7 linked regions of the Macaca mulatta genome follow. The protein of the gene in region 3 purifies or fractionates together with the protein of the main gene of each other region. This does not show direct contact. Links are inferred from orthologs where the notes say so. Each region holds a gene or a part of one and is shown on either strand. Other genes may lie near its edges.

What was found.
Region 1: the proteins of BAG2 (region 3) and HSF1 purify together in Homo sapiens (affinity purification with mass spectrometry; 3 studies listed by BioGRID and IntAct, with this or other methods). This does not show direct contact. The link is inferred for Macaca mulatta from reciprocal best matches to the Homo sapiens genes BAG2 and HSF1.
Region 2: the proteins of BAG2 (region 3) and UBAP2 purify together in Homo sapiens (affinity purification with mass spectrometry; 3 studies listed by BioGRID and IntAct, with this or other methods). This does not show direct contact. The link is inferred for Macaca mulatta from reciprocal best matches to the Homo sapiens genes BAG2 and UBAP2.
Region 4: the proteins of BAG2 (region 3) and RASAL2 purify together in Homo sapiens (affinity purification with mass spectrometry; 3 studies listed by BioGRID and IntAct, with this or other methods). This does not show direct contact. The link is inferred for Macaca mulatta from reciprocal best matches to the Homo sapiens genes BAG2 and RASAL2.
Region 5: the proteins of BAG2 (region 3) and LUZP1 purify together in Homo sapiens (affinity purification with mass spectrometry; 3 studies listed by BioGRID and IntAct, with this or other methods). This does not show direct contact. The link is inferred for Macaca mulatta from reciprocal best matches to the Homo sapiens genes BAG2 and LUZP1.
Region 6: the proteins of BAG2 (region 3) and DNAJC13 purify together in Homo sapiens (affinity purification with mass spectrometry; 3 studies listed by BioGRID and IntAct, with this or other methods). This does not show direct contact. The link is inferred for Macaca mulatta from reciprocal best matches to the Homo sapiens genes BAG2 and DNAJC13.
Region 7: the proteins of BAG2 (region 3) and IRF2BP2 purify together in Homo sapiens (affinity purification with mass spectrometry; 3 studies listed by BioGRID and IntAct, with this or other methods). This does not show direct contact. The link is inferred for Macaca mulatta from reciprocal best matches to the Homo sapiens genes BAG2 and IRF2BP2.

Annotation. Positions count from the first base shown.
Region 1 is NC_133413.1:154,684,041-154,688,561, forward strand, and holds the start of HSF1 (heat shock factor protein 1), read left to right. Parts: upstream 1-1,507; 5' UTR 1,508-1,522; coding exon 1,523-1,756; intron 1,757-2,854; exon of another isoform or gene 2,855-4,521. Other genes in the region: ribosome biogenesis protein BOP1, read right to left, coding at 664-762. UniProt on the Homo sapiens protein: Functions as a stress-inducible and DNA-binding transcription factor that plays a central role in the transcriptional activation of the heat shock response (HSR), leading to the expression of a large class of molecular chaperones, heat shock proteins (HSPs), that protect cells from cellular insult damage.
Region 2 is NC_133420.1:65,639,081-65,643,415, forward strand, and holds the start of UBAP2 (ubiquitin-associated protein 2), read left to right. Parts: upstream 1-1,314; 5' UTR 1,315-1,443; exon of another isoform or gene 1,444-3,827; intron 3,828-4,335. UniProt on the Homo sapiens protein: Recruits the ubiquitination machinery to RNA polymerase II for polyubiquitination, removal and degradation, when the transcription-coupled nucleotide excision repair (TC-NER) machinery fails to resolve DNA damage. May promote the degradation of ANXA2.
Region 3 is NC_133409.1:125,109,560-125,113,348, forward strand, and holds part of BAG2 (BAG family molecular chaperone regulator 2), read right to left. Parts: intron 890-3,789; coding exon 780-889; intron 1-779. UniProt on the Homo sapiens protein: Co-chaperone for HSP70 and HSC70 chaperone proteins. Acts as a nucleotide-exchange factor (NEF) promoting the release of ADP from the HSP70 and HSC70 proteins thereby triggering client/substrate protein release.
Region 4 is NC_133406.1:35,888,669-35,892,457, reverse strand, and holds part of RASAL2 (ras GTPase-activating protein nGAP), read right to left. Parts: intron 3,684-3,789; coding exon 3,484-3,683; intron 2,704-3,483; coding exon 1,842-2,703; intron 1-1,841. UniProt on the Homo sapiens protein: Inhibitory regulator of the Ras-cyclic AMP pathway.
Region 5 is NC_133406.1:217,839,293-217,843,573, reverse strand, and holds the start of LUZP1 (leucine zipper protein 1), read right to left. Parts: upstream 3,011-4,281; 5' UTR 2,552-3,010; intron 1-2,551.
Region 6 is NC_133407.1:35,572,653-35,576,441, forward strand, and holds part of DNAJC13 (dnaJ homolog subfamily C member 13), read left to right. Parts: intron 1-1,031; coding exon 1,032-1,135; intron 1,136-1,223; coding exon 1,224-1,383; intron 1,384-2,451; coding exon 2,452-2,514; intron 2,515-3,638; coding exon 3,639-3,740; intron 3,741-3,789.
Region 7 is NC_133406.1:14,468,674-14,473,098, forward strand, and holds the start of IRF2BP2 (interferon regulatory factor 2-binding protein 2), read left to right. Parts: upstream 1-1,587; 5' UTR 1,588-2,279; coding exon 2,280-3,327; intron 3,328-3,924; coding exon 3,925-4,425. UniProt on the Homo sapiens protein: Acts as a transcriptional corepressor in a IRF2-dependent manner; this repression is not mediated by histone deacetylase activities. Represses the NFAT1-dependent transactivation of NFAT-responsive promoters.

The sequences.
Region 1 (4,521 bases), on a different chromosome or scaffold from region 3:
TCCTGAAGAGCATTTAACTCAAGGGTGCAAGCAGCAGAACCTGGCGCCTAGAGCGGCCTGCGGGCCGTTCAGCCCATGGGAACCAGGATTAGTTGAGTTCGCTTCACAAAGCAATGGGGCAGTTTCAACAACCCAACGCGGCCGAGGGGGCTGTGAGAGGCTGGCTGTCCATTCCCTCCACCACCCAATTTGACGATCCCCACAACCAAGACGGGGCTGAGCTGGCAGAGGGCAACAGTGAGTTCTGATACAACAAACGCAGCAGACTCTGGGTTCTATTCAGGTTTTCTTATTCTCACGTCTATCCCATGAGCATAAAAACGTGATTAACTAGCGCATAAGTAGGTTAAGCATTTACTGGGGGCGCAAGCCGAGCCCTTTTACTGGCAGGACGCACAAATGGAACGGCCGGAGAGGCTGCTGCAAGGGGCGCTTATCCCCACTCCCTGCACCCCCGTTTCTTTGCTTCCCGGACGCCGTCCTTCACCCTGCAGTCTGCTCTGCCTAAGACCCCCCGATAGAGGAGCTGCGCCCACGCCCAAGGCCGATTCACTGGGCACGGGCGCCCAGGTGACAGCAGCCGGGCCCACCCGCCCCAGCGCGGCCACGTGCCCGCTGGGCCTTCTAGGGACGCGCCTCGCCGCCCCGCATTGCCGCAGTCACCTCTGGCTCGGGCTCAGGCTCCAGTTCGGGCTCCGACCGCCGCTTCTCCGGCCGCACGCTTGGCGCCGCCGTGCGCCCCGTGCCCCGCGAACCCGCCATGTCCCGCCGCGCGCCGGCCGCGACCCGAACAGCCGCTTCCGGCAGTGACACGGCCGCGTGCGCAGGAGGACGCGCCCCGCCCAGCCCGGCCCCGATTGGCGGGCGGGGGGGGGGCGGGACCAACACGCGCAGGCGCGCGGCGGGGCCGGGGGCCGGGGCGGGGTCGGGGCCTGCGTGCTCGCGCCGGGGGGGGACGCGAGAGGGCGGCAGCGGCGGCGGCAGCGGCGGGAGCGCGCCCGTTGCAAGATGGCGGCGGCCATGCTGGGCCTTGGGGCTGTGTGTGCGCAGCGGGCGGCGGCTCGGCCCGGACGGCTGGCGCGGCAACGGCGTTAGCCCGGCCCTCGGCCCCTCTTCGCGGCCGCTCCCTCCGCCTATTCCCGCCTTGCCCGAGATGGATCTGCCCGTGGGCCCCGGTGCGGCGGGGCCCAGCAACGTCCCGGCCTTCCTGACCAAGCTGTGGACCCTCGTGAGCGACCCGGACACCGACGCGCTCATCTGCTGGAGCCCGGTGAGGGCAGCGCGCGGGCGCGGGGCCCGTGGGGACCGGGAGGGAGCAGGGCCGCGGTGGACGGCGCGGGAGGGCTGCGGGGAGGGGCCCTGCCACACCTCGGCTTACGCGCGGGGAGCCTGCCCTGCCCCCGCCAGGAAGGGCGGCGGGTCCCGAGCCTGCCCAAACGCAGAGCCTTAAGTTGGGAAAGCGGCTGCGAGACCCACACCCGATTGAACCGCTGCCCCAGCGAAGTTTCCCTGGGATGGGAGAATGGGGCGTCCCTTGCATCGGGCTTCTGCTAACTGTTGGGCGGTTGCGGAAGTGTCCGCGCTTAGGGCAAGCACCCGGCTTCGCCAGCGGACGCTGTGCTCCAGAGGACATCGGCGTCCCCGGGGGACGGCCTACGGGGTGCTGGGTCGGCAACTATTCGGAGAAAGTCAGGACTTGGCACGTGAAGCGGAGGGCGTCGCTGTAGTGGAAAAGGAAAGGCAGTGGAAACAGAAAGTAAGACGTCATGAAGCTTCAGGTTAATCTCAAGCCCGTTTCCGAATCCCAAATCTGGGTTTCCCAGGAGGAGTTTTGTTTTTCATTCCTTGTGGGGCGTCTTTACTCGTGTCTTTATCTTCAGTTGCCTGGCAGCAGGCTTGTTTACACGGTCCGACCCTGCAAGACCGGACAGCTCCGGTTTGCAGAAGTAAATCAGTGATTGTCTGGAGTTGGAGATCAAAATCTGCTGTTCACATCCCGGCTGTGACGTCGTGTCCGGTGAGGGGCAGAGCCACAGCCTGTGGCTGGCAAGTGATGGCCTGAAGAAAGGCCACACTGGCCGAGCGGGGTGACTCTTTGCTGTGAAAGCAGCACTTTGGGAGGTGGCGGCGGGTAGATCACTTGAGGCCAGGAGTTCGAGACCAGCCAAGACAATATGGCAAAACCCCGACTCTACTAAAAATACAAAAAATTAGCCGGGCGTGGTGGTGCTTGCCTGTGGTCCTAGCTACTTGGGAGGCTGAGATAGGAGGATCCCCTGAACCTGGGAGGCAGAGGTTGCACTGAACCGAGATTCCACCACTGCACTCCAGCCTGGCAAAGAATGAGACCCTGTCTTAAGAAAAAAAAGAAAAAAGAAAGGCCACTGATCACTGGGAGCTTTTGGAGGGACCGTGACAGGCGGGATGCCACCAAGCATGTGTGGCCTCCCAGGAGCTAAGACCCCAGAGTTCCTCAGGCTCTGCTGAGGGCCTCCCATTTGCACAGCCTCTTTCTGCTGTTAGGAATGAAGAAAAGTCTGAACTGAAGCTGCTCCAGGCAGGAGGCCAGGCCTTCTGCTTCTCGGGTTTACTGAGGCCCTGCTTTACCTACAGAGTGTTTGGGAATAAAGAGAGGACTGGAAATCTTTGCTCTTTTCAGAAACACTTTGTATTTGTCCTGCTGACACCTCTGTCTGTGTCGGCCTTCCCATCCCCAAGTCCCATTACGGCGCAGTGCGCCTTCCTGCAGGCTGACTTCATTTCACCATCTCTTCATTCTAGACCTTGGCATTTTTGTGCAGAGGAAGTATTCCCATGTTTCTGTTTTCTTTTATCCGTCTTTCGTTTTCTTTCTTTCTTTTTTTTTTTTTTTTTTTTTTTTTGAGACGGCTTCTCGCTCTGTCACCCAGGTTGGAGTGCAGTGGTGCGATCTTGTCTCACTACGACCTCCACCTCCCAGGTTCAAGCAATTCTCCTGCCTCAGCCTCCCGAGTAGCCAGGACTACAGATGCACGCCACCACACCTGGCTGATTGTTGTATTTTTAGTAGAGACGGGGTTTCACCACATCAGCCAGCCTGGTCTGGAACTCCTGACCTCAAGTTATCCACCTGCCTTGGCCTCCCTAAGTGCTGGGATTACAGGTGTGAGCCACTGCACCCAGCCCTTCCTTCTTTTTCTTATTCCCCTTAACCCTCAGAAGTACTCTCTTGCCCCATTGGGGGAGGGGCATCTGAGATTATCTGGGATATTCTAAGCTTAATCCTACTAGCATGATCTGTCCTGTCCCATAATCTGCTTGCTGTTTCTGCTTAAAAGATTATGAGGCATGTGGGTTAGGTCCCAGTGTACTCTTTTTTGAGACCGAGGCATGTTCTGGGCAGGGCTTTTGAGCAAGGGAGGCAGATTTGATGAGGCCTGTGGCCAGCCTCCACTCTCCTCACAGGTGCACCACCTGTGGGCCTGTTCTCCCTGGGGAGGGATGGGGAGCCGTGTGGAATGTCAGTGTTTGGTTCCACCTGGTCAGTATAAAGTGGCAATGGTTGGTGCAGGATGTAGCAGTGGGGGCGAGCATGGCAATGAGATAGAAACACTGACTTCAAACTGGAAGGAAGCCCTTCTCCAGACTGTGCAGGGAGCTGCAGAGCTTTCTGGCGCTGGCTGCGTGGCCTGGAGAAAGGAGGTGATCGTCCCATCCTGTGGCTTTGAGAGCACTCACACAAGCCCTGAGGACTCCATGTCGGCAGAGTCCCAACAGGGGACCCTCCCACAAATCTACTGCCCAGGCCCAGCTGGCTCTCGGAGGCCTTGAGAAGGCCCTGGTGCTCTTGCTCTCTGCTGCCTTCTCTGGGACAGTCTCCTGGCTCAAAGTCTTACCACCATTCTGCCAAGAAAAACCCTCCCTGTTTGACACAAGAAGATGAGGCAGAATCACAGGCATGGTGACTAATTCTCCAGGCTGAATAACTTGGGGGAGACTGAGGCCCAGAAACTGGCCAGTGACTTTACTGAGCCTGGCCAGGAATGGGACCAGCTCTGGACAACCATTGCACTTCCCCTCCCTGGCCTGAGATCGGGACTCCCACTGCAGCCACTGGAGGCAGAATGCCGGGTCACTGTCCAGGAGAGCCCATTTGGTGGGGACTATGGCCCCATCCCTGTGGTGTTCGATTTCCCACCCCCCAGACCCTCATTCCCATGAGCACCCCACCCACACAGGCAGAGGCCTTGAGGGGACCCAGCAAGTCGTGGAGGACAGCACAGCCCCATCTGCCTTGGAGAGGAAACGTGTCAGCCACAAGGTTATGATCCCGGGAGATCCACATAGGAGCATGGGCATGGACGTGGGTGGTCCTCCCTCAGCCAGCTTTTTAACAGCTTATCCCAAAGGTGTGCCTGGATCCAGTACCACTGAGACCCAAAGACGGGGTTGGGGGACTGAATACCTGGACTGACAGGCAGCTCCATAGAACTGAGACCCGTGAGACCAGGGACCCGCAGCCTCCCTGCCCCGTGCCCTGGT
Region 2 (4,335 bases), on a different chromosome or scaffold from region 3:
TGCCAGGACTGCAAAGTCCTTATATGTAACCAGCTTGGGATAAAACAGGCCAGTAAGTAGACCTTGAGAGCTTGTTTGGAGGACCTTGAGAGCTTGTTAACAGGGGCGTGCAGCTACTCCTATATCCTTGACCTGTCCTCCTCTATGGGGGATGCTCCTCCTTTTCGACCGAGTATGCAGCCTCGGGAGCGGTGCGGGAGGAAGGGCCACCCGCCTAGCCAGCCAGATCAGCGGAATCAGCCCTGGCAATCAATGGGGTGACAGATATCGCAGCCAGATCGCCCTCATATCCAAACAGGCCAGTAAATGGAAAATACTTTTAAAACACTATGCTACAATTATAAACCATCATCTTATTTATATGTAATTTTTGGAGTTGACAACAGGTCAGATCCTATTGAGAGGAGGTCTTTAATTTTCTAAGGCAGAAAACCTGGGTTTCTTCGGTCAACAAGCAACTCTAAGCTTCTTTTTTTATCCTTAAATATGGGAAATCCTGGACTCAAGGGGTTGATTATATGATATAACAGAAATGATTGTATAAACGGCGGACTTCGAGTAGGCGTTCAATAGATGCTAGTCTTTTCACTCAGAAGGGGCTTGGGAGGGCAAAAGTACAACCTCACCGAACAAGACGAAAAGTGGGCGGACCTTCCGCCTTGCCGAGGCTCTCGCTGCGAGCCGTTGGCGTTTTCCCGCGCAGGGGGCAGGGCGCAGAGCGAGCCCAGGAACGTGGGAGCAGAACCACACCCCCCGCCAGGACTACACCTCCCAGCAGGCACCACGCTCCGCCACCTGGCGGGCGGCGTCCAGTAGTATTACTTCTTCAAGCCAGCTTAGTCCGCTTTCCGCCCGGCCTTCCCTCGGCACTAAGGTCTCTAGGGGGTGCGTCTGGGAGCCCGCGGGAGAAAGGCTGAGGTAGGGGTCGCCTTGGCTGTGCAGCATGTTGGGACTCGTGGTCCCCTCGTGCAACGTTTGGGAGGCCAGGCTTGCCCTGAGTGGCTGAACCACATCACGTGATGAGAGAGGCGGCCACAGGGGAGCAACCTGTGGTGCCTTGTGAGGTCATCATGGCGCGACGACGAGCTGCAGTTGTAGGCACCCTGGATGCGGTGGGTAATCCTCTCCTGATGACTCCGAGTACAATACATATTATCAAGTCTCCCTTATTTTTTTTTTTTCTGTGGTTTCCCCCACCACCTCCACGCGGTCGGCCTCGCGGGGTTGGGGTGAAGGTGGCAGCTAGAAGAGGCTGCGCGCCGTCTGGGCGGGCTCTGAAGCCGCGCACGAGCGACGTGTTGTGGCTCCTCCTTCGCTCGTGACGCGAGGTCACGTGACGGGTTGGGCAGCCTGTGCCGCCGCCGCCGCTTTGTAAGAGGCACATTGGCAGGTAACGAGCGGCGGCGGCGGCAGCGGGTCTTGAGTCCTCCGAGAGCAGCAGCGGTAATTGCCATCCTGTCCCTTTCCTTCCCTGTTCCAGGGGCCTGAGCGCTGCAGCGTGCGCTTTCTAGTTCTGGGTTCAGCTCGTCTGAACCCCCACCGCCTGCAGACTGCCCCGGCGCCCATCCGTGAGGACCGGGCCAAGCTTCACTCGCCAGCTCCACGGTCCCTGTGTGTCCAGGCCCGGGCGCCCTACTGCCTCTTCCCCTCACTTTGCCTTGTGCTTCTTCCTACTTTCCCCCGTCCGGGTCGGCCGGGCCCCACCCAACCCCAGGGGCGCCTCCCCTCCCCCCTTCGGGTTTCTGCCCTGGAGGGTGTGGTTTTCTCTCCCACCTCGGTGCCTGCCAGTAGATGGGAGCTTCCCCGCCACGCTGTCGGTCCCATCTGATCACCTTTCCGCTTTCACGCCCGTAGCTAGTCTTGGGACTGGCCCTTTTAGAACCCCAACTTCTGCGCTCTCTAATCTTTCCTGGCTTACCCGGAGGCACAGTTCAATTCTACTTCTCCTTTTCAATTGGTCTCAATTGGGACTCAGTTTTCCTCCTCACCCCCGGTTCCTGTAGTCTGGTTATATCACAGTTCATTCTTTAGTGTAGGTTTTTGAGCGCTTTGTAAACCGCAAAGCTCAGTCTGTTAATAATACATATTCAAAATGTTATTCTTTCATTGGTGCATTACAACTCAGTTCTGTTTCCCTCTGAATCACTTTCCCACTCGGCTTTTCCACATTTTCCCCGAGTTTTTAGTCTAATTAGTTGCCCACGCTTCTCAACTGTCACCACTCTGGTCTCTAACCCTTGCTCGCTTTAAGGGTTGATCCCATCATTATTACTGTTATTTCCTGTTTGATGTAATCCAGTCATTTACTACCACTTCTGTTGAATATTGTTTTTATCTCACATTCAAGGAAGGTATATGGTTTGCCAGTATTTAGGCTTATAATCTTTCTACAGCACCAGCGTATCCTAACAGTTGAGAGATTTTAAAAAATTGCTATTCATTTTAGAGATATGGTCTCCATCTATTGCCCAGGCTGGCCTCCCGCTCCTGGGCTTCAGCGATTCTTGCACCTCAGCCTCCTGAGTAGCTGGGGTTACAGGTGTGCCCCACGGTGCCCAGCTAGTTGAGGGTTTTTTCACGTCTCCATAAGGTATCCAAAGATCATCTTTTATTTGAAGGGCATATAATTAATTTCTTGGGTGAAAACCCATTCTTATATTCCTCTCCTGTTATGACAGCACTTTTTTCACCAAGGGGTATGCGGCTAGTTATTGCATTCCTCACTTTTCGCTGTGAATTGTGTATCCTTTTTAGTGTCAGTTTGGGAAGGGTGGAAGGAAGATGAACATGATACCTGAACTGTCCCGTATGCGACATTGGTGTGTTCCCCTTTTACCTCAGGAAAGGGAATGTATTCCACTCCCTGGAGATGATAGTTTCTTTCAGTACACTCACCTGTGGAGCCCCTTCGCTGGGGCCGACCTTTTACTGCTTTGAAGGCTTCTCTTATCATTAGGCAGAAGTGATTAGTTTCCCAAACTGCCCTTTTGCTGGCTGCCAGTGTACTCCTGATTTTCCTACTTATGGCTAGTTGACATATGTGGCGAGAGATTTTCCCACAGCGCCGACTTCCCCCATTTGCTTCCCTGTTGCCGCTCACCCTCAATAATTATGAAACCTTTCAGAGAAGGAAGGTTTTTTGTTGTGATTGAAATATGCCCAAAAGCGGTGGCATGGGAGAGAATGAGGCCATGGGAAAGGGTTGTGGTAATTACCCCTCCTGTTTCCTGCTGCTCTGGTTTCCTCTGTCCTCCCTTTAAATGTGGGCTGGACCAGCAGTAGTCACATGGAGTTGCCTCTAGAACTATATTGGAACAACAATAACACCTCTGCTTCCCTTTCCTGGTTACTAGTGCAGTCTATGTAGTGATCACCAGGAGTGTCTCTCTTAGTATTAGACTGAGTGACTTTTATTGTATGGGGAGAAATGGTGTGAGAACATGGAGAATAATAGGTTTATTTCAATATGTACTTGTATCGTGATGGGAATTGGTCCCTGTATCTACCCTCTTAAGTGTAAAATATATGTAGAAAGTGTAAAGCTCTCTTGAAGGTTTGGAGTGGTCTGAAGTGAAGCCTTTACGTCTAAAATGTTAGCTTTGAATTAATTGTTGATTTCCCAGTCCTTTTTTTTTTTTTTTAAATGATGTCTTACTGTTAAGATTTCCTTTGTTAATAAGACACTTTGTGGGGGTGGGGGTGGTTAAGTATATTATGAAGGGTTAATGCCTGCTGGGAAGAAGCAGTCTGCAGGCATTTACAGATTGTAAAGTTCTCTGCCCTTAAGCAAACCTGTCTTATTTTGTTTATTTTTCCTTGCGAGAAACCTGTATGTCAGCAAATATCTGTTCTTTCTTAGTTATCATTTTGAGCAAATAGAGCGTCCTTAAAAGCTAAGTGTTATGGTACCCATGGTGTTGACTGGTAAATTAGTAGATCTCTGATAGATTTTAGAAGCAGCTATTTTTTACAAAAAGGAGAGTGGAGATACAACCTGAAGGAAGGCAAAGAGAGTGAGGACATGTAGGGAATATCACCATGTAATCTTTGTGGTAGATTTTGATGTAATTTTGCCCAAACTATCAAGTATTTAGGAATATGATCCTTTTTTTCCTAACTCAATCAAATGTATCACATTAGTTTTTACAATTTTAATGTTAAACCGCTTATGCTGGTGTTTCCTACTGAGTTTACTTGACTTTTTTTAGTTTCTCTCAAAGATGCTGCTTAAAATTTTTTTTTGTGGCTGGGCGCAGTGGCTCATACCTGTAATCCCAGCACTTTGGGCGCCGAGTCGGGCGGGTCACGAGGCTGGGAGTTGAGACTAACCTAATC
Region 3 (3,789 bases):
AATCCCAGCACTTTGGGAGGCCGAGGCAGGCAAAATCACCTGAGGTCAGGAGTTCGAGACCAGCTTGGCCAACATGGTGAAACCCTGTCTTTACTAAAAATACAAAAATTAGCCAGGTGTGGTGGCAGGCGCCTATAATCCCAGCTACTCAGGAGACTGAGGCAGGAGAATCACTTGAACCCGGGAGGCGGAGGTTGCAGTGAGCCAAGGTCGTGCCACTGCACTCCAGCCTGGGTGACGAGTGAAACTCCATCTCATAAAAAGAAAAAAGAAAATGACAGCACATTTTTACATTCATGCCTTTTACTGGTCCTACAAGTTTCCTCATTTTCTCTGCATTTTGTCCCTCTCTTTATGTTGTACCTCAATTCATCTTTTTTTTTTTTTTTTTGGTCTCTACTTCTCTGCTTCCATTCTCACCCTTTTTCCTCTGTGTTTTTTAATCTCTTGCAGTCCAGTAACTTGTGAAGAACTGAAGTTAGGAGTGTGAACCTGGGATAAAACACATGGCCTTACTGCTTGGGGCCAGCTCTTCTGAGCTTGCAGGCTTTTTCCTATCTCTCCCAGCCATGGCTTGGGGTAGAGAGCATGCTGGAAGAAATCTCTGAGTAAGTGGCTGCTATAATAAACTGACAGCTGCAGCTGCTCTCTGTGGCTCACATTAAATGCTGTGGCCTAGTATACGCATACCGAAAGTCAAGCAAAAATTGACCCACACTTATCATAAACTCTTTAAAGGAGTGTAAAAGACGAGCCCCTTCTGTGGAGATGGCTCTCACCGTCACTGATCTGCCTCATGTCCTGGCTATTTTGGATACTGTGGATCATTTCCAGAAGGATTTCTTTCTCTTGCTCAACAGCAGTTGCTGCTTCTCTCAAAGCTTCAACCCTATAGAAATTGGGAAAACAAAACGGTTATTGTATGCAGGATGTTCTTCCTATTAATTTTATCTCTCATTCAACCCAAATCAAGTTTAAAGATCACCAAACTTTTCAAAACTTCTTCATTTCTGCTTTAAAATTCTTTCATTTTTCTATTTTTTATCCACTTGCCTTTCTCCTATTTTCCTTCCAGCTCATGAGGCAATTCTATTTAGTGTTTATCTAATTAATAGTATTTGTTTTTACAAGATCTGTATTATTTGTATATTTTGAATTTATATCTCATTCTGTTTTTATTTTTTCACTTAGCATCCAGGATCCTATGTGTACTTTTTTTTTTTTTTTTGGAGACAGTCTTGCTTTGTCCCCCAGGCTGGAGCACAGTGGCACGATCTCACTGCAACTTCTACCTCCTGCGTTCAACTGATTCTCATGCCTCAGCCTCCGGGCCCAGCTAATTTTTGTAATTTTAGTAGAGACGGGGTTTCGCCATGTTGGCCAGGCTGGTCTCAAACTGCTGGCCTCAAGTGATCTGCCCACCGCAGCCTCCCAAAGTGCTGGAATTACAGGTGTGAGCCATCACACCCAGCCCCCTATGTGTACTTTTAATCAGTTGGTGCTACATATTTTATAATACTCCATGTGTATACCTACCTGCTTTTCCTTCTCCACTCTCCCAGAGATGGACACTCAGGTTGTCTACCAACTTCTTATTACTACAAATAACACTTCTATGAATACATCTCCCCTTTGGATCTTGGTGAGGATTTCCTTAGGACATATACCAGGACAGAATTGCTGAGATAAAGGGTATGTGTACTCCGCTTTTGACTTAGTACTATGATTATTCTGCAGAATACCTGTACCTGTCCATTCTCCACAGCAAAGCACAGGAGTCCCCATATCCCTACCAACACTCCGCATTTGCCAACTTTCTATTTGCTGCCAGTGTAGTAGAAGTATGTCAGGTTAACCTGCGTTTTCCTAATAATTTCAGACATCTCTTTGTATCCTTGTTAGCCTATTCATAGACTTTTCCTATTTTGTTTTTCTATTTTTAAACAGGAGTTACTGTCCCCTTGCTGATTTGTATACTCAAGAAATTCTTGTTGGTTACAGACATTGCAGCCATCTCTCATCCTCTCTTATATGAACCACGTCTGGGATGTCTGGCACTAAAGAGAGACTCTTATTTTGATGTGATCCAATTCATCTTTTTTTTTTTTTTTTTTTTTGCCTTATAGCTTATGCTTTTGAAGTTTTGACCTAAGGTCTTCCCCCTACCCCTTGGTCATATTTTCCTATATTTTCTCTTATTAACTTTATAGTTCTACCTTCCTTATGTCTTTAATCCACCTAGAATCAACCCTTGTATGTAGTTAGTTAAGAATGTTGTTTTTTTTCAAATAGCCATTTTCCCCAACATTATTTACCAAACAATCCATCTTTCCCCTAGCGAATGCGTATTAAGTTTCTCTCTAAAATCTCTATCCCATGCATTAGTGTATTTAACTGTTCTTATACTAGTGCCCAGTTTTGTTTTGTTTGTTTATAGCACTAGCCTTGTACTATACTTTAATATTTGATAGAACATGCCCCTCAATCTTCTTTAAAGATAACTTAACTATTTATGGACTTTTACTTCTCCATATAAATTCTAGGGTACGTTTATTGTGTTTCTCAAAAAATGAGAGAAATTCGACATCTTTATAACGTCATTCTGTTTAAGGGCATGATATATGTCTCTTCATTTATTCAGATCTTCTATAGAGTTCTCATGTATTCTTCATAGTAGTCTTTGTAGATATTGTTGCTCTTGTGAATTTGTATTTTCTAGTTGATTTTTACTGGTTTGAGAAGTGTTGTCTTTGTAGGTTTATCTTGTCACTGGCGACCTTGATTTACATGTATTCATTTTAGTGTTCAGTCTGTTGATTCTGTTGGTTCTTCTAGGTAAATGATCATATCCATATCATCCATAGTTTTTATTTCCTCCTTCCCAATCCTATTACTTTTCTATTACTTTTTTTTTTTTAAGAAAAGGTCCTTCAGTACTGTATTAAACAGTGGCAATGATGGGGGTATCTTTGTCTTTTCCCAAATTTAAGGGAAAGTCTCTGTGGCTTTTTTGTGTAAAACCCTCATCAAACTATAGAAGCGCTACTTTCCCCACTTCACTCAACTGCACACACATGCACTCACACTATACATACACATAATTGTGCCCAGTCACTAAAAAACTAAGCTGGGGAATCATGAGAGCAAAATAAAAATATACATATTGTATATTTAACATGTTGTATACTTCCAGGGTACCTTATTATTATGAATTACAGTAAGTTGCCAACTTTTGCAAAATGAAATAGTGACAGACCTATTCCCAGTATTTGGATGGTCTTAGAAGTTCATGAGAGATCTAATCCTAACTGCTGTCTTAAGTGTGCACAGAAAGAACAACTTCACCAATGTTTTAGCATGTTCAATTCCATAAAAGGATCTTCCCCCTACCCCAAGCACACACGTGCCTTTTCCCCTTCGGTTACCCACCTGTTATACCCCAAAATAGTACTGACAGGCTGTAACATCACAGGATATCTTTATTCTTCAAGATATTAAATATATGTCAAAGTCTGTGTTTATAAGAGCCACTAAAAGCAAAGAACTGGGAAGAATCTCATGTGACAAATTTGGCTAGAGAACACAATCAAAATACAATATTCTACAAAGTAACAGTAATGCAAGTATCAGGCCCTATTCCAGGACCATTCACTATTTACTTAAACATTTTACATTAGCAATCTCTCAGAAAGATAAACTAGGGCCCAGAACATAGGAAAGAGACTGAGTTGGCACTAAATATTTATGCTAAAAGCACAAACCATGACTCCAATATTTAGACAAATGACA
Region 4 (3,789 bases), on a different chromosome or scaffold from region 3:
CCAATGAACACCTTAATTTTCTGAAAGTAGTTGATCTCAACTAGAGTCTAGCACAAAAGTGATGGGAGGAAACTACTTCACAATAAGGTGGGCATGACTGATAGCCTCCTAACACATACATTTTATGTTTATATATACACACACATTTATGTATAAAAAATACATATGATACATATAAAAGATACGTATTTTTCCTTTTCTTCAAATACAAATGCTTACTAAATCAAATCTTTGGGAAATATAACAAAATAAAAATGAAAAATTTAAGACTGTAGAAAAACTTTATTACTCAGTAAAAAATGACCAAGTAGGAGGTTTAGCCCAGGAAGTCTGCTTCCAGAAACAGTTTGTTAGTCATGCTTTTCATCCCTTCTTCTATTTCTGTATCCAAGGATTCTATAAATAATCCAATTAAAAAAATCAAAGTAGGTGTAAGGGGCTCTGATCATAGCAGACTGGAGGCAGACGCAGCCATATCAGTAAGTGCCTAAACTGTAAAAATGCAAATATATTACAGATACAAATTAGGATTTTATTGCAGTCTCCCTCCCCAGTTATTTTGCTGCATAAAAGGATTTGTCATAGAACTCTTTTAATCTCAAACTTTCTAGTACTATCATTAGGTTTCAAAAAAAATTCAACTAACACAATGCTTTTTCAGGAGAAAAATCTTTTTAGATGAAAGATATAAAAAGATATATGTTATATATATGAAAAATTACATGAATGTGTATATATATATTTAACAGTAGTTTGTTTCAAAGGGAAAAATATGTATTGATGCTTCAAAATGTAATATGTAAGGAAGAAATGATTAATTTCTGGGCAAAGCTTTTTATTTGTCAAGAAAAAAATCAGAAAATCTTATATTATGATTGGATGTGATGTTAGCTGGGCTTGTCCATGTAAATAGAAATGTAAGGGATCTGCAAATGTTCAGAATACTTCCTTTTCCACCTGTGCTTCTATCTTTTTTTTTTTTTTTTTTTTTTTTTTTGAGACGGAGTCTCGCTCTGTCTCCCGGGCTGGAGTTGCAGTGGCCGGATCTCAGCTCACTGCAAGCTCCGCCTTCCGGGTTCACGCCATTCTCCTGCCTCAGCCTCCCGAGTAGCTGGGACTACAGGCGCCGCCACCTCGCCCGGCTAGTTTTTTGTATTTTTTAGTAGAGACGGGGTTTCACCATGTTCACCAGGATGGTCTCGATCTCCTGACCTCGTGATCCACCCGTCTCGGCCTCCCAAAGTGCTGGGATTACAGGCTTGAGCCACCGCGCCCGGCCCTGTGCTTCTATCTTTTTAATCTTTCCTTTACCTTGACTCTCTATGTGTTCAAGTGTTTATTTTTCTAGCCATTTCCAGGAAAAGGCACATGGGACTTTGTATTTCCAGAGAGAGTTGAGGGATGGAATGGAGAGCAGTCACATTAAACTCTTGGCTCAGAATGCAAACCTTTATTCTGGAAGCTTAAGAAAAAAAATTAAGAGGGATTAATTTTCAGATTCCCAAAATAATAGTTGGTTTTGCCTACAGATTTTAAGTATCTAATTATTCATTCAACATCACCGATTTGTTCTAAGTGTAAACTGAGGTAGTAGCTCTGCTGCTTGAAGAGAAGGGGGCCCCTGCGTGTTTGTTAGACTTTTAAGGGTAATGAGTCAAACTTCATTCTGCAGTCTCACTTAGGCAGAAGCTTCCCCAAATTTTCCTTTCCTCTTTCCATTTAAAGGTTGCTTTTAAGTGGAAATATTGTTAACAATAGGATTTCCCAATGATTTACGTATAAAGAACCAAAGAAACAGATGGACCAAGTAGAAGCCACGCCCCTTCAGCACTCGTGCCTACCTGCTGTGTCTGTTGTCTCTGGATTGCTCTCACTTTGGGAACAGGGCTCTCTCTGGAGGAAGAGGACTGCTGCCGGGACCGGCTCCCATTCTGCACAGGTTCGGCCACCAGGGCTGCGGACGCCACTGACATGCTCCCGGTGCTACGTAAGGAAGCACTATGTGGCAGGGATGGTGGGGCTTTGGCTCGGGCACCTAACCCACCCTGGTCCACTTTTCGGATCTGGGCCTGCCCAGTACTATTTTGTCGTGGCAAAGCAAGAGGTATGTGTCTGTCTGGCACAGTGTGCCGCCTGGAGAAGTCCTCACTCTGAGTGCTACGTTTAGTGAAATCTTCCATGCTGCTATTGCTGGGTCCACTAAGCTTGAAGTCTTCACTGTTACTTTGGCTTCTGGAACTGGCAGTGCTTAGGTTCTCCAAACTGGAATCTATAGAGGCCTTTGGCATTGCTGGAATTGGGTTATTGAGGTGATAGACAGGGTTCTGGAATGACAAGGGCTGAAGGCCACCTGGCTGGTTCAAGGCTGGGTGCAGGGGCCTTCTCACTTGGGGTGCACTTTGGGGAGTGCTCTGGGTTTCCCGCAGCTGTTTGATGCTGGCCACCTGGGTTATGGAAAGCTGGCTTCCGGTCAAGCGTATAGGCACATCAAGCATGACAGATGCATGCTCCACTTGAGCAGCATGAGTGTCCTGGAGGTCCATGAGGGAGACGCTCCGACCATTAGGAAGGCTACTTTCCCTTTCATCCTTTTCAGAATAAGTCATGCTCTGAGAGGAGGCTTGCTGAACCAGCAATAATGTTTTCCCTCTGAAGTAGCTGTCTGTGTTGTCCTGGCTTGGAGATTTTAGTTTATGCAAATCACTGTAGAAAAGGAAAGGACACTTAATTTCTCTTGAGACAACTTCAACATGGCTAAGATGCCTCAATTCAGGCATGTGAACTCCTCTGAAGGTTCTTATGTGGATACATACATTTCTTTGGAAACTCAGATTTTACATAATTAGGGAATTATTACAATTGTTAGAATAAAATCCAGCATTTTTACTTTTTCCCCAAAAGTAGAGAATAACACTGTAGATACCAACCCATCACTGTCTTCAGTTTTAACCAGGATTCCAATAATTTCCTAGTTAGGTTTTAAACCTTCCTGAAATATTCCAATTCATACTTACTTATCTAAACCTTCAAGAGAAGTTCTAAGTACACAACTGCAAGGTCCCTGCTAAAGGCACAAATCTTGCCAATCCATAACACAGTCTAAGCATCAACATTGTATCTACCTGTCCAGCTGACATAGCCAGCTATAAAATGGTTTTCACCGAGGTTCTCCATGGTTTTTGAATGCTATAACGTATAGAAACATGAATTTCATAAAGCCTTTGGTCTTCCACTAAGCAAGACAGAAATTTTAAAAATATGCTGGGGAATATATTATAACTCTCTATACTACCATTCTAGAAAATAAGTTATCCCAGATCTTGTGCATTATAATGACAAATAATTGAACTGCTCTCAGGTCAGATGAGTCTTCAATTGCTCATAATTTTAAACTTGTAAATTCAAAAAACAGGTTGAATATACTTCTGCTAAATCTGAACATTATATTTCTCTGAGATATTGGTCACGTCCTCTCTTTCATACCTGTCAGTGGGGTCTTCAAATATTTTCTGCAGCCCAGAGGAGAGGCTTCCACTGACATTTGGACTGGAGTTATGTTCAGTGAAGCGTCTCAGTTGCTGTTGTATTGGCGTAGGATTAGTCAATGACTTGGTAATATCAGCAAGAACACGAGGGAGAGGCCCCAATTTTGCCACGGTCGCCTGTAGGAAGGAATTTTCACCCTAATTGGATAATAAGCATTGCGACATCCACCATAGATTGTTTTTGGCACAACGATGGCCATTGATGGAGGGGTGCAGGTTGGAGGGAAGGGTAGGTATTTGCATA
Region 5 (4,281 bases), on a different chromosome or scaffold from region 3:
AGTCATGCTGGGTAGTTTACATATACTACCTCTTAAAGGTTATAGGGGTCATTATTCCTAGTATATTGCATATACTATCTCTTAAAGGTTATAGGGGGTCATTATTGCTGCTATCTTGCAGACTGGGAACAAGGCTCAGACAGGTAAAGTCACTTACTGGTCACACATCTAGTAGGATCTAAACCAAGACATGTGCAACATCAAAGCCCAAGTCCAGGAGGAAATGGGCTATATTCCAAAGCAAATAAGCTATGCACTCAGGCAGCCATTATTGGTTGGGTGGCTTTGGGCAAGTCATTGAACTCTTCTCTGCAGTAGTTTTGCCACCTCTGCAGAATAAGTGTATACCCAGCTATTGCATGTAAGCTAAGTGCTTTGTAAATCGTAACACATAATACAAAGGAAAGGCATCTCAGCTCTTCAGGGACTAGGTCTCACTCATCTTTGGATCTTTTGGTGCTTTCCCTGCTAGTGTTTGCCTCGATTAGTGTTCATCCCCCATTAGCGCATTTAGGACGGTTTTCCTCGTTTGCATCTTATTTCCCCCTCCAGCCTGGGACTTCCTCAACAGCAGGAATGATGCTTATTAATTTCTGATCCCTTTCTGCCCCTAGTACAGTGTCCGGCCTGCATCCCTCCATTCCTTTGCACTTTTATTTATTTCATAAGAAATGGCGGAGTGCCTAACAGGTGCCAGGCACTACACAGACTGTAATACAGCAAAAGTCCCAAGTTTCCTGGACTGGAGGAGTGGAGAAACAGGATAACATTAAATACAGTTACTTAATAACAATTCCATTAAGTGCTCCAAAGAATCAGGTGAGATGCCAGAAGGGATTGGGGGATGCGGGTGGGGACCTAACTCAATTGAGGAGCCAGAGAAGGCTTCCTAGAGGAGGTGGCCTGGAGGCTCAGAGAGGGTAAGGAACATGCTCAAGGTCACACAGCTGGTAAGTGGGAAATTGGGATTTTAACCCAGGAATGCCTGAGTCCAAAGCCCACACTCTACTAGAAAACACTGTCTTTTATTTCCTCCACTTTTTACTTCCTTGACTTTTTTTTTTTTTAGATGCAGTCTTGCTCTATCGCCCAGGCTGGAGTGCAGTGGTGTGATCTCGGCTCACTGCAACCTCCACCTCCTGGGTTCCAGTGATTTTCGTACCTCAGCCTCCCGAGCAGCCGGGATTATAGGCGTGTGCCACTCCACCCAGTTAATTTTTATATTTTTAGTGGAGATGGGGTTTCACCATGTTGGCCAGGCTGGTCTCAAACTCCTGACCTCAAACGATCTGCCCATCTCAGCCTCCCCAAAAGTGCTGGAATTACAGGCGTGAGCCACCACGGCCCGGCCCCCTACTTCCTTGACTTTTATTTTTGAGAAAGGAGTAAGGCCTGTTCAAATGAATGCACTAAAGCAGTATTTTTTCCCAGCTTTTGGGGATCACAGATTCTTTTGAGAATCTGGTGAAATCCGTGAAACCTCTCTCCAGAATTCCACCTATACAGACAGACCCACAAAATCTTGCATACAATTTCAGGGAGTTCATAGCTGTCCTGAGGCCCAGGTTTAGAACTCATTCCATGGAGGACCACCAGACCTTATAGTAAAATTGTCAGAACCGCAGAAAGAGACACCAGGACCCCATAAAGAGCTCAAATCCCCAGAGAGATCTCAAGATCCTATAGAAAGAGTCTCAAGATCCAGTAGAAAGATCTGGGATCCTGTAGAGGCCCCCAAGTTGCTACAGAGTAACAGCTGGGGCTTTGCAGAAATATTCTCAAGAGGTTATAGACATAGAGGAACCTCAACCTCTCATGAAGCTGGAGTCCTCATAGCGGGCTTGGAGAGCTATAATTTTGGGGATTTTTCGATTTTTGAGACAATGTCTGACCTCTGTCGCCCAGGCTGCAATGCAATGACACAATCACCCCTCACCACAGCCTCAAACTCCTGGGCTCAAGCAATCCTCCTGTCTCAGCCTCCAAAGTAGCTGGGACCAGAAGCATGTGCCACCATGTCCAGCTAATTTTTAAATTTTCTGTAAGGATGAGGGGTCTCACTATGTTTCCCAGGCTGGTCTCGAACTCCTGGAATCAAGAGATCCTCCCACCTCGAGCTCCCAAAGCGGTGGGATTACAGGCGTGAGTCACCATACCCTGCGGAGAGCTATAATTCTTGACCCTTGTTGGATCACTGACACCTTTGGAACTTCGAAGAAAAATGCAACACACACAACATGTTACACAAGGAGTTCACAGACCTCTGAGAGGCCATCGGTAGCCCCTGGGTACAGAACTCCGGTTCTTGAGGTGCTGCAAGAATGTAACCCCCGCCCTCCAAACACCTCAAAAACCTGGAGCAGAACCACAGACGCGAGGCACAAACTTTAGGGTGAAACAGACCCCGAGTCGCATCCCGGCCCTGCCGTTTACCAGCCATGACCTTGAACACTCACCTAGAAACCCTCAGGCCTCAGCATCTCACCACCCAAAAGAGAGGGCTGGACGCCCTTCCCTCCCCACCCCGGCCCCCACGGCGTGCGCTCCGTACCCGGTGGGGCGCTGACGCTTGACAGGACTCAGCCTCTCCCCTCCTGCGCCAGTGAGCCATGAATCCGGCTGCAGCACTTCGTGAAATACAAATGGGCCGACTGCACCAGGCGTGCGGGAGGCGGGGGAGGGGGCCGGCGCGTTCGCCGTTTGCCGCAGTGACAGCTCCGCGCAGCCGGCCGGCCGCGGGTCTGGGAAGCCGCCGGTGCCGGGCGCGCTCTCGCCTTTCCCACCCACCAGGCAGGGCGTTCCCGCCAGCCGGCTTCCTGCAGCCGAGGGCCGGGGAGGAGGGACGGCGCTGAGGGGCCGCAGGGCCTGGCAGGCCTGGTTCCTGGCTTTCTCTCCGCGTTTCCTGAGCAGGACCGGCCGGGGGATGGGACCCAGAGCAAACCTCCTTCCCCAGGAGCGCAGCCAGGAAATCGCGTCCTTATTAATCAGGTTCCTCCTCTGCGCGCCGAACGGGGCTGGTTTCCGTCCGCGATCGAGTGGGCATGGTGCGACCCACTTATCCCAGAAGGAAGCGGAGAGACGAAATGGCAGCTCCCGACCCCACGACACAGCAAGATTCCAACCCCGTGATGTCAGTGTTAACTCCATCCTACGGATGAGAAAGCTGAGGCTTTGAAAAATGAAGTGACTTATCCAAGGTCGTCATAAAAATATTACTACTAATAAAATAACGTGCTTACTACATACCAGCCACTGTGCTCCAGGTATATTTCGTCACTGGGTTCTTTAATCTATGAAGATAACTGTTGTTCCTAGTTCATAAATGAGGAAACAGAACCAGAGGCCAAGTGGCAGCTCCAGTGACGCACAGCTACGAAATAACAGAGCTAGGAATTAAACTCCAGCCTCCTGTTTCCAGAGCTCAGCCTTTCTCCATCCTGCTTCTGCGTTTCAGTTGAGTAACCATGACCTTGTCTCATGTGTTTCTGGGTCCTCAGAGCCTTACCGAGAACTTGACACAAAGTAAGTGCTCAGAGGTGATTAAGGGAACCTTACATGGAAGTTCACACTTAGAAGGACTGATAGGAGGCATCTGTCCACGTGACCCCTTCTAGCGCCTTCCGCCAAGTGAAAATGTAGCCTCTCCTGAATACTCGCTATCATGATAAACTCTCCCCCTCCCCACACCCCATCCCATTCCCTTGTTGGACAAATACATTTGGTTTAAATGTAAATGCTCCCCCCCTTTTTTTTTTTTGAGACGGAGTTTCGCCTTGTAGCCCAGGCTGGAGTGCAGTGGCACAATCTTGGCTCACTGCAACCTCCACCTCCTGGGTTCAAGCGATTCTCCTGCCTCAGCCTCCCAAGTAACTGGGATTACAGGCGTGTGCCACCACACCCAACTAATTTTGTATTTTTAGTAGAGACAGGATTTCATTGGTTGATAAGGCTGGTCTCGAACTCCTGACCTCAGGTGATCCACCCACCTCGGCCTCCAAAAGTGCTGGGATTACAGGTGCGAGCTACTGTGCCCGGCCTTAAATGCTCCTTTTTTTTTTTTTGTCCATGGTTTCTTGTAAACAAGGCCAGGCCATTTTCCTCCCTGTGGCCACATTACATATTGCATGGTATTCTTAGCCATTCTATAAGGTTAGACCGTTCAATAATTTTAAGTTCCTCATAAACTGGGACAAGGTCAGCTGTTCATCAAAGCTGTTCCCCTTCCAAATGTAGAGTTGTTTCTGAGAAAAGCAGCCAGACTACATTTTCCAGCACTCCTTG
Region 6 (3,789 bases), on a different chromosome or scaffold from region 3:
GAGATCGCGCCACTGCACTCCAGCCTCGGAGACAGAGCGAGAAAAGGTGAAATGAAGATATATATTTGATTTTATATAATTTATATTTTTAGAAATCCATTATTTTAGACTTTGGAAAAAGAATTTTGATCTGAGAATTCCTTTTTATAATTGCCTGAAATCTTTCCTTGAGACACACAACCTGAGTGCAAGCATGGTGGTGCTGGCCCAACTCCTGATGTTTGACTTTGCCCTCATTTATCACCTCAATTTAGTAGAATGGGGTGATTCGACATAGAAGGAATTCTTTACGAAAATGTAAAATGTAGTTGATGTGTTGGTTTTAAGTCTTGGCACATCGCCGGGGGTAGAGCTGCGGGATAGAGGGAAGACCTGAAGTAGTGTATGTGTGTTGAGCAAATTATGTGTGATGCAGGACCATCTACTCCTTGCTTTTTTTTTTTTTTTTTTTTTTTTTTTGAGACGGAGTCTCGCTCTGCCGCCCAGGCTGGAGTGCAGTGGCCGGATCTCAGCTCACTGCAAGCTCCGCCTCCCGGGTTCACACCATTCTCCTGCCTCAGCCTCCCAAGTAGTTGGGACTACAGGCGCCCGCCACCGCGCCCGGCTAGTTTTTTGTATTTTTTAGTAGAGACGGGGTTTCACCGTGTTAGCCAGGATGGTCTCGATCTCCTGACCTCGTGATCCGCCCGTCTCGGCCTCCCAAAGTGCTGGGATTACAGGCTTGAGCCACCGCGCCCGGCCGTACTCCTTGCTTTTTTATGGCAAACCCAGTAGGAAATAAAGCAGATTTTATTCTTCCTTTTTTAATTGACACCACATAGTGCTGTGATGGTTTTTATCAGCAAGTCTGACATTTATAAAATTGGTATGTAATTCTCAGCATTTAGCTAAAATAGTCATGTTAACAATATTGAATTAATAAGTATTGTAAGAAATAAGTTCTGAACAGAAAGAATTATAAGAAACAATTATTAGAAATTGCCAAAATCTATTGTAAACTAAAATAGTGTAATTTGCTTTTGTTTATGAAGGTTAAATATGAGTGCCTGGCAGAGGAAATTAAAATAGGAGACTATTACCTGAGATTACTATTGGAGGAAGATGAGAATGAAGAAAGTGGATCAATTAAGAGATCGTGAGCTACTCTGTATATCCTGTTGCATTTGTACTCACTGTTGGTTTCATGGTTATTTCTATTGTGAACTTTTTTTTTTTAAATCTAGGTATGAATTTTTCAATGAGCTTTATCATCGCTTCTTGCTCACCCCAAAAGTAAACATGAAGTGTTTATGTTTACAAGCCCTTGCTATTGTTTATGGCAGATGTCACGAAGAAATAGGACCTTTTACAGATACCAGATATATCATTGGAATGTTAGAGAGGGTAAGGATATCATTTAAGGAAATTACTATTTGATAGTGTCACTAGGGTATGTGTTAAATTTTAAAACTAAATTTAAATTCTGTTTGATCACATTATTACTGTAACTTTCTGCATTCATTTTTCTGTAATTTATACTTACTTAAATCTGAGTTAGATGAATAGGAAAATGAATAGTGGGTTAGAATTTGTCCATGTCACTTTATGTGTTTCAGTTAGTATTTTCAAATGACTTTAGTTGACCTACTTGTCAGTCTTTAAGTATGGATGAGTTGGACAGGTGTATAAAAGAAATGGTGACTTCTAGAGTTGTATGTACCTTTGATTTTCCATTTTGGAAAAATCTTAATTGATGCTAGCATACTAAATTTAGAAGTGTGAAGATAGCAAAAACCTTTTAAAACTACAATGCTAAGCCTCCAAAAAAGAAACCTTGAGTTAGCACTTTACAAAGAATTTTATACAGTTTGTCAAATAAAAAAATTAGTGGACATGGTGGCATGTATCTGGTGGTTCACCGGGAAGTGGGAGGATCACTGGAACCCGGGAGGTTGAGGCTGCAGTGAGCTGTGATCACACTCCATCCTGGATGACAGAGCAGGACCTTGTCTCAAAAAAAATTTTTTTTTAAGAATTTGTGATTTAACACTTGAACATGGTGAAGGGGACAAATTAATTAATCATGCAGCTTATTTGATTGCTACCTGTTTGTTGCAGTGTATGTTTTATACTTTCTTTTGTGTTTACATTCCTTTTACTTAAAGTATCATTTGGACCAATTTTTTCACTTACTTCAATTTTTACATATGTCCTTAAAGCTATATATTAATCTGTTTGATGACTTTACAATGTCTGCCTTTCTAGGGAAATTAGACAAGTTATATAAAGTTGTAAAGAATGTAATTTTCAGGATTCATTAAGGAATTGCAATAATTGACAGATTTCTATGATTTTTCTCTTTAATGTTTAAAAGATGGCATTACTTATGGGCTGTTGATTTTGTCTAGTAATAGTAATAGCTTAATTTTTATTTCTATTCAGTTCTGACCAGATTCTCATTTATTTCAATAGTGCACAGATAAACTTGAACGAGATAGGTTGATTCTCTTCCTTAACAAGTTGATCCTTAATAAGGTACAGTAGTTTCGCATACATACATTGTTATTTCCAAGTCATATAAGTAATGTAAGATAAACTCACAGTTTGAGTTGATTATCCAGGGAGTGTTCTTTTCTGTCTTCTCCTTTTTAGGCAGAAAGTTCTGTGTGCTCTAACCTCCTGGAGGGAAAGGTTTTTGTCAGTATTCCCTGTATAGTCTGTCTTAATATTATAGGTGCAGAATGAATGAATGATAATAAAATTCTGAATGAGGAACAATGGATGACTTTTAATACATTAAAATGATCTTTAATAATAGAAATTATTAGCTTATTTTTCTTTAGGGACTTTCTAGGGTTAAATTTTAAGTAAAATATATGCTTGACATAAAATGGAAAGTCTTTATCAGTATACATTTTGCAGATAAAAAGTAATTGGAAGTTACAAGATTAGTCATTTTACTGTTTTCTTTTTGAAGACATTTTAATAGGTTCATGCTTATTTCGAACAAGAGGAATTCATAGTTGTAATATATAAAATTAATTCACAGTTTATGTTGAAGCATAAGCAGATTTTCATTTCTTAAAACTTTGATACTAATACCAATTTGTGTAGTTTTATTCTTGTAGTAAGTAATGCAAATGTTTTAAACTGAAGTGTAATTATACGTACAAAGATTTTAATTGAAATTATAGTCTCTTCTAAGAAGTTACCAGTTATTTTAAGTTTAAGAAAACAAACTGGAACATTAAAGGATTTTTAATATAGCAGACTTTATTTCTGATATAGAATAATCTGTTTATTAAAAAGACCTTGGCAGAATAATTGTAAAACCAGAGTTTATCATGACAGTCTTCAATTTGTTTACTCTTATTTTTGTGGGTTGTTTTTTCTTCAGAACATATTTAAGTAAAAATTCTTAAGTGATCTCTTTGTAATATAATTTTGCCCTTTTAATCAATTGGAATTCAGGTTCCTTGAACACAAAATGCTGAAAAGACCAAGTAATACCAGTTGTATCAATTATTTCCAAAGATTCCAAACATTCTCCTCTTCGAGGACCTTGTAGGTGGTAGTACCTATTGGGAAAGGTACTGTTGGGAAAGGTTTTAGATTGTGAGAAATGTTTAGATTACAAAAAAAATGTTTTCTTCTTCCAGAAAAATGTTAAGGATCTCATGGATTCAAATGGAATAAGAATCCTTGTGGACTTGCTTACCCTTGCACATCTCCATGTAAGCCGAGCTACAGTACCACTGCAAGTACGTATCCTTGTTTAGGTTTTACAAACTTAACATTCTTTGAGTATAA
Region 7 (4,425 bases), on a different chromosome or scaffold from region 3:
CAGCTCCCTCCACTGTTTCTCTAAGGGTGTTTTTCCTCTTCCTTGTGGTTAATCCTTTGAAGCAACCTGGTATTTTCAATAGCAACGACTAGAGAGAAACGTCAGCAGGATTTTTTTTTTTCTCTCCACCTACCAATCCAGTTGTAGGAAAGATAATATAATTAGTACCCTGTTCTTCCCACACTTAACCAGCTCATTCCAGTCTCAAGGGAGAGTTGTGGGCCTGTGTTCCCAACAAAAGCAGCCCCAGAGGCCGCCCTTAAAGAGCTGAAGTGTAAAAGTCCCAATTGAAGAGCGACTAAGCCTACGTGTATTAGGGAGACTAACGACCAGCCCAAAGTGATTTACCATAACACACACCAGCTCCTCCTCCCGATAAAAGTGCGAAACTCAAGCATTCAATTCAGTCTGGGCTGAGTCTGAGGCTGCCAACGGTGGCAGAGCTGAAGGCCGCGCGGCTGGGCTGGGCTTACCCCAGCCTGGGTGGCATATAGGGCGCAAGTCTGCCCCCATCGGCGGCCCGCCCTGCGCGACGGCGAGCCAGCCAGCCGGTCGCCCCCACGGCCAGCGGGGACCCCGCGGAGGCGAGCAGGACTTCCCCCCACGACTCGCGCCCGCGCCTCCCGCCACCTCGAGTCCAAGTTCGGGCCCGGGGCGGCGCCTGGACGCCCAGACTCGCCGAAGGGGGTGGGGCCTGCGCTGTGACGCGGTCGCGCTGGCCGTACACCCCGGATCCCTGGAATGTGCATTCGTTCCACGAGGCCCTAGTGCCAGCGGCGCCGAGGCACGTCTGCGCGGAGCGTGCGCACACGCGGCGGCGGCCGCCCACGGTCCCGAGTCCACGTCACGCGCCCGCCGCGCAGACCTACATAAGGCGGCCGGGGCAACTGGCGCGGCGAGGCCCTAGCTGAACAGGGCGGGCTGGACGGGGCTAAGAGCAGCACTTGGTGTTCGCGAGCTGCTAATCCGAACCGCGCTCCCTCCCCTCCAGAGGGCTCCGTGGAAAACGCGCGAGCCAGCTGGCGGCGTGTGCACGTGGTGCTGGGCTTGGGAACATCCAGATTCTCCCTAGTTAGTAAAAGGGGCAGGCGGCGGGTATGTCCTTCCCAAGACAAATGCAAATGCAAAGCACCAGTGACGGATTTCATGCTCTTGTGTCCGACATTGAGCTTTCAAGTATAACTCCTAAAAAACCAGAACTGTGAACCACGCTAGACCTAAAATCCCCATTCTCAGGAGACTGACGGAAACCAAGTGACAAAGTGGCCTTGCATAAAAGAAAAAGAAATGGCTTTTAGCACGATTTGGTCCAGAGGCACACCAGGGGAAAACATCCTGAGGGTGGTCGAGACAGCCGGGTGGGGCGTGAAGTGAGGGAAAGTGGAGGAAAAGCACACGACCACTTTGCGCCGTGTTCCGAGGGGACACCAGCGCTGCGCTGCCGCGCTGCCCCGCGAGCGGGCGGGCGCCACAGAGCCGGCTCTCCCGACAGCGCTCCTTCGGCGCGCAGGGGGGAGGGGAGCGCGCGCGCGGGAGGGCGGGCACGCGCCCGAGGGGAGGGGGCCCGCGCAGGCGCTGTGCGAGACTGTCGAAGAATCAAGTCTGTAGAAGTGGAGCGGCCGCGGCGGCAGCAGCAGCAGCGACGGTGGCGGCGGCAGAGCTGAGGCGGGCTGGCCGCTGACGCTGGCGCTGGAGAGCGGCGACGCCAGGAGCTGTGAGAGAGCGGCGGAGCGACCCGGGGCCTGCGCCGCACCCGAGCTCCACGCCGCCCAGCCGCCGCCGCCCCGGCGCGGCATGCCCCGCCGCTCGGGCTGAGCCTGCCCCGGCGGCCGCCCCCCGCCCCCTGCCCCCCCGGCCTCCCCGCCCCCCGCCCCGCACACTGTGCCGGCCGCCGCCGCGACCTGCTGCGCTCCCCCGCGCCCGCGCGGCCCGTCTTCGCCCCGGTCTGGAGGCCCGCCGCGGCTCCAGCCGAGCCCCCGCCGCCGCGCCCGCCGCACCGCCGCACCGCGCCGCCCGCCCGCGCCCGCGCCGGCCGGGGGGAACTGCTGCCGCGGCTGCAGCCCCTCGCCTCGCGCCCGCCGCCCCTCGTGCACCGGGGGCGCTGCGCGGGCGCCGAGCCTTCGCGGGCTTTGCCGCCGCCGCCGCCGCCTTTGCGGCCGCCGCCGCCGCTGGTGGGGGAGACGCGGGGTTGGGGGGGGAGGAGGGCGCGCGTGGTGCCGGTGGGGGGCGGCGGCGGCGCCCCCTCCTCCTCCTCCTCCGGCGCCGCGGGCTCCTCGGACATGGCCGCGGCGGTGGCGGTGGCGGCCGCGTCCCGGCGGCAGTCGTGCTACCTGTGTGATCTGCCCCGCATGCCCTGGGCCATGATCTGGGACTTCACCGAACCTGTGTGCCGCGGCTGCGTCAACTACGAGGGCGCCGACCGCGTCGAGTTCGTCATCGAGACAGCGCGGCAGCTCAAGCGGGCGCACGGCTGCTTCCCGGAGGGTCGCTCCCCGCCCGGCGCCGCGGCCCCGGCCGCCGCCAAGCCGCCGCCGCTCTCGGCCAAGGACATCCTCTTGCAGCAGCAGCAGCAGCTCGGCCACGGCGGCCCCGAGGCGGCCCCGCGCGCGCCGCAGGCCCTGGAGCGCTACCCCCTGGCGGCCGCGGCCGAGCGGCCCCCGCGCCTCGGCTCTGACTTCGGCGGCAGTCGTCCGGCCGCGAGCCTGGCCCAGCCGCCGACGCCGCAGCCGCCGCCCGTGAACGGCATCTTGGTGCCCAACGGCTTCTCCAAGCTAGAGGAGCCTCCCGAGTTGAATCGCCAGAGCCCGAACCCGCGGCGCGGCCACGCGGTGCCGCCCACCCTGGTGCCGCTCATGAACGGCTCGGCCACGCCGCTGCCCACCGCGCTCGGCCTCGGCGGCCGCGCTGCCGCCTCCTTAGCCGCGGTGTCCGGAACCGCGGCCGCCAGCCTGGGCTCCGCGCAGCCCACCGACCTGGGCGCCCACAAGCGGCCGGCATCCGTGTCGAGCAGCGCGGCCGTGGAGCACGAGCAGCGCGAGGCAGCAGCCAAGGAGAAGCAACCGCCGCCGCCTGCGCACCGGGGCCCGGCGGACAGCCTGTCCACCGCGGCCGGGGCCGCCGAGCTGAGCGCGGAAGGTGCGGGCAAGAGCCGCGGGTCTGGAGAGCAGGACTGGGTCAACAGGCCCAAGACCGTGCGCGACACGCTGCTGGCGCTGCACCAGCACGGCCACTCGGGGCCCTTCGAGAGCAAGTTTAAGAAGGAGCCGGCCCTGACTGCAGGCAGGTTGTTGGGTTTCGAGGCCAACGGGGCCAACGGGTCTAAAGCAGGTAGGGGCGGCTGTGAAGTGAGGGGTTCTAGGGGAGAAAAGGGGACGGAGAGCAGAGGAGGGGTGGTTCTTTCGATTCACCATTTTACCCCAGCTCAGAAACAACAAATACCCCACTTCCTGATCTGCCTGAGGCGGAACCAGTGCTTAGTGGCAACGTGTTCATGTGCTGAAGCAGCATAACAGAGATGAGTCAGACTGGGCTGATACGCTCTGACACGGGGTTTTCCTTTCCCAGCACATTCTTGGATGGGAGCATGAGGGCACTAGTCACCTTTTAACCTATTGCGGGACATTAGCAGTCACATGCCCAGTGCAAACTAGGGTACTTTTGTGCATGTGTAAAAACAGGCAGTTACAAGCCTGCCATTTTCAGTGGCTCCGTTTTATTTTCAGTCTACTGCCTCAGAACCCCACACGCCTAAATGTTTCAAGTTGCGTGTATGTGCACCTGAAACTCGTAGGAGGGTTTTCCGTCTGTGCTTTTAGAGAGGAGGAATTCTGTAACGAGTTTTGTTTCGGGTTAGGAAGGGAAGGATCCCTTCCAGTGCACCGCCATTTATGTTTCCTTTTTCCTTTTATTTCTTTGTGTTTCCAGTTGCAAGAACAGCAAGGAAAAGGAAGCCCTCTCCAGAACCAGAAGGTGAAGTCGGGCCCCCTAAGATCAATGGAGAGGCCCAGCCGTGGCTGTCCACATCCACAGAAGGGCTCAAGATCCCCATGACTCCTACATCCTCTTTTGTGTCTCCGCCACCACCCACTGCCTCACCTCATTCCAACCGGACCACACCGCCTGAAGCGGCCCAGAATGGCCAGTCCCCCATGGCAGCCCTGATCTTAGTAGCAGACAATGCAGGGGGCAGTCATGCCTCAAAAGATGCCAACCAGGTTCACTCCACTACCAGGAGGAATAGCAACAGTCCGCCCTCTCCGTCCTCTATGAACCAAAGAAGGCTGGGCCCCAGAGAGGTGGGGGGCCAGGGAGCAGGCAACACAGGAGGACTGGAGCCAGTGCACCCTGCCAGCCTCCCGGACTCCTCTCTGGCAGCCAGTGCCCCGCTGTGCTGCACCCTCTGCCACGAGCGGCTGGAGGACACCC